Caenorhabditis elegans: one gene and its partner. The protein of the gene in region 1 binds, or shares a complex with, the protein of each later gene. Each region holds a gene or a part of one and is shown on either strand. Other genes may lie near its edges.

What was found.
Region 2: taf-5 (region 1) and taf-1 share a complex: the UniProt entries of both Caenorhabditis elegans proteins name them as parts of the TFIID basal transcription factor complex.

Annotation. Positions count from the first base shown.
Region 1 is NC_003279.8:7,848,231-7,854,168, forward strand, and holds taf-5 (Transcription initiation factor TFIID subunit 5), read left to right. Parts: upstream 1-1,582; 5' UTR 1,583-1,594; coding exon 1,595-1,827; intron 1,828-2,296; coding exon 2,297-2,676; intron 2,677-2,726; coding exon 2,727-2,917; intron 2,918-3,534; coding exon 3,535-4,050; intron 4,051-4,224; coding exon 4,225-4,599; intron 4,600-4,646; coding exon 4,647-4,783; intron 4,784-5,153; coding exon 5,154-5,268; 3' UTR 5,269-5,406; downstream 5,407-5,938. Other genes in the region: F30F8.5 (MATH domain-containing protein), read right to left, coding at 1-341, 435-623; apb-3 (AP-3 complex subunit beta), read left to right, coding at 5,520-5,596, 5,711-5,789, 5,840-5,938. UniProt on the Caenorhabditis elegans protein: The TFIID basal transcription factor complex plays a major role in the initiation of RNA polymerase II (Pol II)-dependent transcription.
Region 2 is NC_003279.8:13,859,458-13,864,498, forward strand, and holds the start of taf-1 (Transcription initiation factor TFIID subunit 1), read left to right. Parts: upstream 1-2,016; 5' UTR 2,017-2,018; coding exon 2,019-2,145; intron 2,146-2,210; coding exon 2,211-2,406; intron 2,407-3,800; coding exon 3,801-4,203; intron 4,204-5,041. Other genes in the region: W04A8.6 (ANK_REP_REGION domain-containing protein), read left to right, coding at 1-94. UniProt on the Caenorhabditis elegans protein: The TFIID basal transcription factor complex plays a major role in the initiation of RNA polymerase II (Pol II)-dependent transcription.

The DNA.
Region 1 (5,938 bases):
TCATTTGCCGTAAATAACTGACAACCAAGATCAAACTTTCTAATGACAGCGTTAATTGTATTGAATGTCCATGCTTCTGTTACTGTCATTTTGTGAGATCCCATCGTGAATTTTCGTGTGATGTCACGTGGAATATCCGATGGGAACTTGCTCAGTAGTTTCAGCTGGACCATATGGACAGCCACATAACGTTCTTTATTACGTGTCACTGCGGGAAGCTTCAGACCATCTATGGTAACCCAATCCCAAGATGATAGAGAGGAAATTAGATTTTCAGTTCCGTCAGATGTACTACTAGATGTACGAAGACGTTGAGGAGGTGGTGACAGGTTTTTGTTGCTCTGAAATTCAAGAATCTAGCTTTCTAGGTTTCTAGACGCAAAGCTTCAATTTTTCAGTATCGACAAAACATTTTCTATTAAAAAAAAACCTACATCAGTTCTCCTTGTAGAAGTTGAATTATTCATCTGCTGCTCATTTCCAACTGCTCCATTCTGTTTCTCCGGCGTAGAGCAATCAGATTTGATCACTTCAACATCAATTTCAGGACTATGGGCTCTTGGCGTCGCATCAGTGTCCTTTTTCTCAGCACTCTTTAAAGACGAGGTTGTAGTAGTGTCCATAATGTGTAGAAACACAAGCAATGCTCGTCTTCTTCTTCTCTGTCTTCCACTCCCCCATTCATTTTCTGTGTGCATCTGTCTCTCCAGTCTATCGATCCTTACACGGAGCGTGTTCGCCTCTGCGTCTCGCTTGGGCTTCAACTGCTTCTCGGCGTCCCTCTGAATTTTATATGCATTCGACAACGTTTGTGTGTGTGTGAAATCGTCATTCTAGGACAACAATTCGTATTTTCGTTGCATTAGATATTAAAAATTAAAACGGCTGAATTCAAAATGGGTAAGTATTTCTAATTAACTATTTCCCTAGTTTTACTTTACGTTTTTTCATCATTCTAGAAAGTTATCACTGTAGCAATCGACTCCGTTATCAGATACATAGAAATGATAAGATAGCAAACAAAATATTGTTGATTGCACAATTGAATACATTCGAATATTTATTAATCGTTGTATTGAAATCAGTTGGAATGAAAATGTTAAATTTACACTACAAACTACAAGCGATAACATTTTACTGTATATTTAGTGTTCTTAGTTAGTTGCCAAAGTGATATCAAGGGAGATATCATAATTATTTAAGATTGGGTACCTTCATTTAAAGAAACTGAGTAGAGTTCTTTTGGAGTACAGGACCCAAACACCGTTTTTTTTTCATAGATAATTAACTTTTAACTCCTACAAAAAGGTCTGACAGAAATTCCGAAGGTAGGCATGCCTACGTAGGTTAGTTGCAATCTCGCTCTGCTGCACCATGTCGGCAACAAGTTCGTAGTGACGTTTGAATTAATTCTTCTTCGCTCTTTTATTCTACTTATAAATTCTGCAATTGGCCACATATTTGAAAAAAAAAACACCATTTTGAACTCAATTATTTTTCTAACAAATGTCGGTTTAAATTCAAAAAAATATATCAAATTTGATATTTTGACAGTATTTTCTCATAATAATATATTTTCCAGAGAATGAACTTGATGGATAGCGAGAATTCGAGTAGTCATTCGATAAGTTCTCCACAAATGTTTCAAAACACGCACAACAATTCAGCAATGGAGGATAATTTGCTTTCTCGGCCAATGAACAATGAATCACTTCAAATGATTATTGGATACTTACGACGAAATGGTTTAACAGAAACTGAAGAGCTTTTGACTCGAGAAGCTGGACCAGTACTTAGAGTTGAAGGATCTAATGGATTACCTCCAGAGTAAGTTTTTTTTTTCAATTTAAAAATGTATCTAGAAATTAATATTTTAAAAGGTTGGAGCATTGCTAGACTCAAAATGACCCCACAAAATTGTTTTAAATTTCTCAAAAAAAAGCTAACCAGTTGATTAAGATGCTTTTTCAGTAGATGTGCACACAGTAATTTCAAAATAAAATTTTTTCCAAATGTTGTGCATCCATCGACTGAAAAGATCACTTTTACCGAAAAAATCAATTTTGTAATTTTCTGCCGAATATAGACTTTTCCCCTAAACTCAAAACCGGTATTTAAATAAATTTGGGAAATTTACAAGACGTATTAATAATACATTCGGTTTTCGGTATCATTTTAAGTCTAATGAATCTACTCAAATTTCGCCACTTCATCTTAGAAATAATTTTTTTTAATAGCAAAATAGACAAAATTTGAATTTTTCAAAGCCCAATGTCTTAAAAACCAAAAGTTTCAGAGAAGCGATATCCGTTGAATTCGACACATTTGTCCAGCACGCAAACGATTGTACAGATGTTGTTCAAGCGGAATTCAGTCAACTTTTATTTCCTATATTTGCACACAGCTATATAGCTTTAATTGAAAAGCATGCCGCAACTGCCCGTATATTCTTCAATCGATTCAAGATTTTCATTCCTGAATGTTTCTCGGAATTTGTATATCAATTATCACTAATCGAAGATGCAATGACGTTACGAGCCAATGAACATGTTCACATTTTACGAGAAAATAAATTTCTTGTTCGACTTTCGAGGCCAACACTGAAACATCTTGAATCAATTCAAACGAGAGTGATTGGTGTTAAGAATATAATTGCAAAACATATTTGTATTGAAAGTAAGTATTCATTTTTATATACAAAAAAAATATAATAATATCCGTTAAAGATGCTGACGAAGTATCCACAAATCGAACGACAATAGAAACCCAAATGGGTGGAATTCTTGGAGTAACTTCGAAAAGTGATAAAAGACATAAAATGATGTTTTCGGTGTTAAAAGACGAATTGATGCAGAATATTGAAAAACGGAAGACAAAAGGAAAAGATTGGAAAGATATGGGAAAGAAAATGCAGACGGTAAGATTTTTAAACAATTTTTTTGAATTTTTTTGTACTGACAAGGAAAGATTTTCATCTTACCCTGAAATTTTAAAAATGTTTATCAAATTTTGTTTATGTTAATGAAAAAAAACATAAGAACATATATAATTGTTTTCTAAAAAAGAGAAAAAAATTGTCAATATTTTAAGCTAATTTTCAAAAAATCAAAAACAAAATCATTAGATTTTTCGATTTCCCAAAAACCGAAAAACGTAATATTTTCGTTATTGTTTTTTGTGAAAAATCGAAAAATGAACACCTTTGCTGATAACATATCGCTGTAACATTTTAATCGGCATGTTATGTTGAAAAATCTAATTTTAAAACAGTTGATTTTTTTCTGAATAAATTTCCAAAAATAATGTTTGGCTACACCTAAACTCTTTTGAAGTCTTCAAAAATATTCAAAAGTATCTTTTGGAGCAACTCTAATGGCCTGAAAATAATGCAAAAATACACTGAAAAATACAGTCAAAATTTAAATGGTTGAGGGTGTAGCTGTGACGATTAAAATTTTTTAGTGTGTTTTTTGAGTCCCTCTCCCTTTGTTCTGTAATTTTCATAGTTCTTTGTATATATCTTGTTATTTCCAGCATTGCCCACAAGCTGACCGAATTCCTCTTCCACCAATCAGCGAACATCTTCGAGAGGAACGACGAAATTGGCTTCGAGACGTCGGAAAAATGGCCATCATTTCAGCTGAATCACCCGTTTCCATTTGTATGTACACAACAGTAAATGCACCAATTGGAGTGGCTTCATGTGATTTTACGGATGATTCAAGTCTTATTGCAATGGGTTTATCTGATTCTTCAATTGTTATGAATGCAATGGATCCGATGAATAAGATGAAGAAGCTTCGTGATATGGAATTTCTTGATAAAATCGATATTGAAACTGCGGATAACGTGCAATCACAAATGTTTGATTTACAAGGATCAACGACAAGTGTGAGGTATACAGGCCACGGTGGTCCCGTGTTTTCTGTCAATTTTTCACCGGATCGACGACTTCTTATATCATCTGCCGGAGATCGAACAGTTCGACTTTGGAGTATGGAGACTCAGAGGAATGCTGTTATTTATAGAACACCAGCAGTAGTTTGGCAGGTTTGTATTTATATAATTTTAACTAGCATTTTAACTGAGATATTTAGTGTCGTTGGTAATCTTATTTCAAATAATAGATCATTATCCGAAATTATCGAATTTAACTAATAAAAAAACTGTCTCATAAAGTTTCAGCGCAACGTTCTACATTATCTAATCTGAAAACTATTACAGGCTCAATTCTGTAGTCGTGGATACTATTTCGCTACAGCAAGTGCCGATAAAACAGCTGCAATGTGGTCGACAGATCGAATGCATCCACTTAGAATATTCGCTGATCCATATGGAGACGTTGGATGTATTGATTATCATCCAAATTGTAATTATATTGCTGGAGGATCAGATGATAGATATGTTCGAGTATGGGATGTTTGTTCTGGTACTCGAGTTCGCATTTTTAGTGGTCATAAAGCTTCGATTATCGCTGTCAAGTTCTCCCCATGTGGTCGGTATATCGTCTCGTTAGATGCTATTGGAAATCTGATGATTTGGGATTTGGCATACCAGAGATTAGTTGCAGCTGAAATTACGGAACAAGCTGGAACGAAGGTAGTGAAATATAAAAATGATAATATCATATTACTAGTTCATTTCAGGGTTCAATTACATTCTCTCGTGATGGTGGTGTATTTGCGGTATCCCATGGAAATTCAAGTATTCAATTATATTCACTTGATACTCTTATTGGAACAGTTCTCGCCGCTGGACAAAATGATTCCTACATTGAGCCAAAGTAAGTTTTAATTAGGAACAAAATACTTGGAGAAATATACAGGTACAAATATTATGAAAACGCAGAAAAATCCCCTTACGAGAAAGAAGAAAGTATAAATTTTATTCATCAAATTAGCCATAACATTTTTTTAAACCACTTAAAAACAGGACAAATGCTTGAAGATCGGAGAAATCGGCAATACTAAAAACTTTCGAATTTACGGTTTTGTCGCCAAATACCTAATGAGACCTATGGCTTGGGGGCGGGGCGTATTTATTCGGCAGTGGAGCGCGTTTCCACTTCAGAATGTCTTTTCTAAGTCCTCATAATATATAGTTTCTCGAAAACTCCTACAAGCTTTTTTCAATCAATTTTTACAAAATTTCAGAGTGAATCTGGACGGTTTCAATATAGGATCATATGCAACAAAAGAAACTGCAGTAATCGGACTCCATTTCACTCGTCGAAATCTTCTTCTTGGATTTGGTTGCTTCGGGCAATAACTGTCATCTTGCCTGCTATTATTTGAACATTTTATCTTTAAAATACATTATCTCAAAATCTGGTCTTTAACGTGATCCTCTCATTCATATTAAATCTCTTTTTCACTGGTGGAATAAAACCTTTTAACAAATTTTAAATTTATTTTAAAATCCCTTTGGCTTTATTTTGGAATTATGTGTTCATTCCGACACTGCAAATATTTTATTACATTTTTTTCTCTTTTTTAAAAATAAGGTTATTTTATTTTCAGATGACGTCGTTCGTCGAAGGGTTGACCAGCCCTGAAATGGAAATTGCTGAGGGCGGAGTCATCTTGGATAATAGGACGTAGGTTTTTTTGTTAACTTAAGACTAATAAAAATACTTATTTTTTAAAAAATTTCAACAGTTACATTTTAGGTATAACTGTACGTAACATTTTTCGAATATATCTACTTTCAGACGATTCGCTGACCTAAAAGCCATGCTGGATAGTAATAAAGATAACCTAAAAGTTGATGCAATGAAACGAATAATTAACGTGAGATTTTATTTCCAATAAATTATAATTATCTAAACTTGAAATTTCAGCTGATAGCGAAAGGAAAAGATGTCAGTGAACTATTTGCTGCAGTTGTGAAGAACGTAGCAGCAAAAAATGTGGAGCTGAAAAAGTTGGTATTTGTTTAT
Region 2 (5,041 bases), 6.0 Mb from region 1:
ATATCTTCAGGATATGTCTACAGACGTCTCGGGGCTCCAATCAAGCCCTGAACTCGGACAATTGATGGGACAACTGCAGCAACAGAGGATGTAGAGCTGATTTTCAGTGGAAAATTCTAATTTTCTGTGAAAAAAATCGAGTTTTTTGGGTAAAAATTCATAGAAATCTGAATTTTTCCCCCAAAAATTGAATTTTTAGTCAATTTTTACCATGTTTAACCCTAATAAATCCCCATTTCCCCCCCCCCCCCCCCCCCCCCCCCCCCCATTTTCGTGTCAATTTTCGGGTAAAATTCCCATTTTTCGCTTGTATTTTTGCCCATTTTTCATTGTTTTTTCTCTCGAATTTTCTCAGATAATCAATCAATTTAATTGAATCTTTTTTTTTGTTGAAAAAATTGAATCATTTTCCATAATTTTGTCATTTTTTTCCCATAATTTGAAATGAATTTCTCACTTTCCTATTTTCGCTATTCTTTTCCGGTTTTTTCGGGGGGAAATCCTCGAAAAAGTGTAATTTTGCACTTGAATATTTTTTTTTTTAATAGTTTTTCTATTTTTTAGCTGAAAATTCAATTTTTAAACGTTTTTTCACATAAACCAACGTTTAACAGAAATTTTGTTTTAAAAATCGGTAAAAACCGAATAAAAAGTGAAAATTCGAAGAAAAATTTAGAAAAAAACAATTTTTATTCAAAAACTCTAATTTTGCTGTAAAAATTTGGAAAAAACTTATTTTCATCACATTTTTAGTCGCTAAATTCAATTTTCAGTCGAAAAATTGAATTTTCAAGCGAAATTTTGAATTTTCAGTCAGAAATTCTGCTAAAAATTGCAAATTTCATGAATTTTTCTTCAAAAATTTCATTTTTTAATGCCAAAATCCAATAAATTCCACAAAATCATAATTAAAATTCGAGTTTCAATTCCAAAAATTCTGAATTTTCCACAAAAAAAAGATTTTTTCCGCACTTGGTTGCTCACACTACAAACTACACAATTTTCTAGCCTCACTCAACTTTTGGTGAGGCTTAAAAAGTTGTAGTTTGTAGTGTCGGCCTCAACCAAATGCATTTTTCGAGCAATTTTAAGCCGAAAAGTCAGAAAAAACTCAACTTTTTGCCGAAAAACTTTGAAAAAATTAGATTTTCATAACATTTTTAGTCGAAAAATGAATTTTCCCGGTGAAAAATTAAATTTTTCAGCGAAATGATTGTAAATTTCATTTTTTTTCTTGAAAAGTCTAATTTTTATGCGAAAATCAATCAAATTTGAAGAAATAATAATTAAAATTCGAGTTTCATTCAAAAAACTGAGAACTTTCCCCAAAAAATTAGTTTTTCCGGAGTTGGTTGAGGCTCACACTACAAAAACTACAACATTTTCTAGCCTCGCCCAACCTTTGGTGAGGCTGAAAAAGTTGTAGTTTTTGTAGTGTGAGCCTCAACCAAATCCATTTTTCACTCAAAATCGAGCAATTTTGAGCAGAAAATCCATTTTTTCCGTGAAAAAATTTAAAAATTCGTGAATCATCAGGTTTTTAGAATTATTTTTAAAGTTATTATCGTAATTTTTTCCAATTTTCTACAAGTTTTTAGTCTCACCAAAAGTTGGTTGAGGCTAGAAAATGTTGTAGTTTGTAGTCTGTGCATTTTTTGGTGTTTTCTTCTTAATTTGCACAATTTTGATTCATTGTTTATTCGGAAAAATGGAAATTTTATCGATTTTCAAATTCAAATTAAATAAAAATTCAATTTTGAGACTAAATTAATGGTTTTTTTTTCGAATTTTTCAAAATTTCCGTTTTCTTTTTTTTCTCTGAAAATTTTCTAAAGAATATCAATAGACAGAACTCATGAATTTTCAAAATTCAAAATCTCTAAAACTCAAAATCGAGCAACTTTGAGCAGAAAATTCAGAAAATATTCAATTTTTTCGTGAAAATTTCTTGAAAAATTCGTGAATCTCCAGGTTTTTAAAATATTTTTCAAAATTTTTTATTGTAATTTTTTCCAGTAATGAACAATACACATCATCACACAAATGGGTATCGAACGGAAAAGCCAAAAAATGAAGAAGATCTAGAGGATCCTTACGCTAATCTCTCGGATTTCTACAAAAATCATCCGGCAGCACGGAATGAAGGTAGCGAAAATCGAAAAAAAAAACTTTGGAATTTCACTAATTTTTCATTTTTTTCATTTTTTCAGCATGTTCGTCAGCTTCTAATGGCGGCTCTAAAAGTGTGAAAATGGAGCCAAAAGTGGAAAAAAATGAAGAATTTGAAGAATATATTGGTGATCCTGTACGATTAGAAGATATGGAACCATTTGCAAGACCATCACTTCGAGATGATGCACCACTTTCATCTATTTTACATCCGGATCTTGATGGAATTGATCCGAGGTACTGAAAACCACAAATTTCTGTTGAAATTGACGTTTTTTACCGGAAATTTCCACGAAAAACTCAAAAATTCTATCAAAAATCACTGAAAATTGGGAAATTTGACAAAAAATTTCATTTCCTGCCGAATCCTGTAATGTGTAGTATGAGATGTGTGTGGTATAAAAATTGACAAATTTTAATTTAATAACATTAAAAAAAATTTCATTTTTCTCTAAAAACTTTATTTTTTTTTCCATTTTTACAAACTTTTTTATAAAATCACCCGAAAATTCGAATTTTCTTCGGAAAATCTATTTTAAAAACTCTGAAAATTGCTCGAAAATGACATTTTTTGAATAAAGTATTCCAAAAATGCTCAAAACGTGCTGTTTCTTCCAAAATTCCATAATTTTCTTTTAAAATTCCGCAAAATTTGCTTGCCCTTGAAATTGAAAACTGAAATTTTTTGAATTTCCCGCCAAAAGTCGATTTGGAAAGAGTTTTTGCTGGAAAAATCAAAAATTTCGACAAAAAATCGTAAAATGGGATTTTTTTTTCAAAATTTTTCGAAAAAAAATCGAGTAAAAGTGACGATTTTTTTTTCAATTTTTGTTGAATAAATCGAATATTCAGTAAAATTTTCATTTTTTTTTCTCGAAAAATTGATAGAAATTCTAATTTCGTTGGAAAAAACAAATTTTCACTTTTTTTAAGCATGAAAAGCGCCATTATTTCAAAAAATTGGCAAACATTTGCCGAAATTCGAATTTCGCGCAAAAATCGAATAAAAGTGACGATTTTTGTTGGAAAAATCGAATTTTCACTGAAATGTTGGGTTTTGTTTTATTCGAAAATTGAAAATTGAAATTCGAATTTTGCTCCAAAAGTCAGTTTTCCAATGAAGTTTCATAAAAACACACAAATACACAATTTTTAAGTCAAAAAACCCGAAAATTGGCAATTTCTGCAAAAATTCCTTTAAAAAACTCAAAAATTCACTCAAAAATCGTTGAAACCCGTGTCACTTTTCCCCGAAAAAACCCACAATTTTTCCACACAAACCCATGGTTTTCCTAGCCATCAGAAATCTCATGTAAAACTCGAAAATTTGCTTTAAAATTGTTAAACCTTTTTTTCGAGCCAAAAAAGCCAAAAAAAGCCTGAAAATTGGCCAATTTCTGCAAAAATTCCAAAAAAAATGGTTGAAACCCGTCATTTTTCCCCTGAAAACTGGTTTTTCTCGCCGAAAAACTCGAAATTTTGATGTAAAATTGCTAAAAACTGCTAATTTCTTCTAGAATTCCATAATTCTCTGTTAAAATTTCCAAAAAAATTCCGAAAATTCGCCAAAAATTCACGCAAATCACTGAAAACCCCCATTTTTCCGCAAAATCCTTTAATTTTATTTTCAGAATCTTCTTCAAAGACTTCAATCCAAACAAAACTCTTCGTTTCTCTCGACTTTTTGCTCAAAATATCAAACATACGTCCCGTGCCGAGATCTGGTGGGCTTCCCGAACCTTCTCCAAACATCAACGCAAAAAAGAGCCCGAAGAGCCCCTCGCTGATGACGTCATCGTTGGAGCCAAAAAGCTGAAGCTTAACATCATTGAGAAGGTGCCACGTGTCATGTTGGCTGACGATGAAGAAGAACGAATGCGGAGACCGATACTGACGGATGCAGAGGAAATGGCAAAGAAAAATGAAGAGGGTACGGTAGTTCAGCCGTGGAGAACGGGTCCCGCCAAGATTTGGTATGATATGATGAATTTGCCGATGACTAGTCAAGCTGTTAATTATGGATTCAAACTGAAGGTAAAAATAATGAAAATTTGCAGAAAATCGGCTGAAAATTGCTCAAAAAAATGGAATTTCCTTTGAAAAACTGACTTAAAAATGGCTGAAATTGGCTAAAAATGATCAAAATTAAAGTTTCCTGGTAAAAAATACACTGAAAATGGCTGAAAAATGGCTGAAATTCGCCAAAAATTGAAGTTTTCAATAAAAAAAACCCTAAAAATCGCACTAAAAATCTGAAAAAATTACCAAAAAAGCGCAAATTTGACACAGTTTGCTCAAAAAAATTTGGTTGAAGCTAGAAAATTTCGTAGTTTGTAGTATGAGCCTCAACCAAAATTGAGAATTTTAAATTGGTTGAGGCTAAAAAGTTGTAGTTTGTAGTATGAGCCTCAACCAAAATTGAGAATTTTAAATTGGTTGAGGCTAAAAAGTTGTAGTTTGTAGTGTGAGCCTCAACCAAAATTGAGAACTTTAAATTGGTTGAGGCTAGAAAATGTTGTAGTTTGTAGTGTGAGCCTCACCCAAAATTGGTTGAGGCTAGAAAATGTTGTAGTTTGTAGTGTGAGCCTCACCTTAAATTGGTTGAGGCTAAAAAAGTTGTAGTTTGTAGTGTGAGCCTCAACCAAAATTGGTTGAGGCTAGAAAATGTTGTAGTTTGTAGTGTGAGCCTCACTCAACAATATATTTTTAGTTGAAAAACGTGATTTTCAGTCAATTTTTGATAATTTTTAACTAAAAATTCCTGAAAAATATAATTTCCAGCTCAATTCCGACAATTTTCCGGTTATTTTCACGGCTTAAACAGCATTTCATGAGTTTTCAGACAATTTTCGGTCATCTTAGACAATTTCAT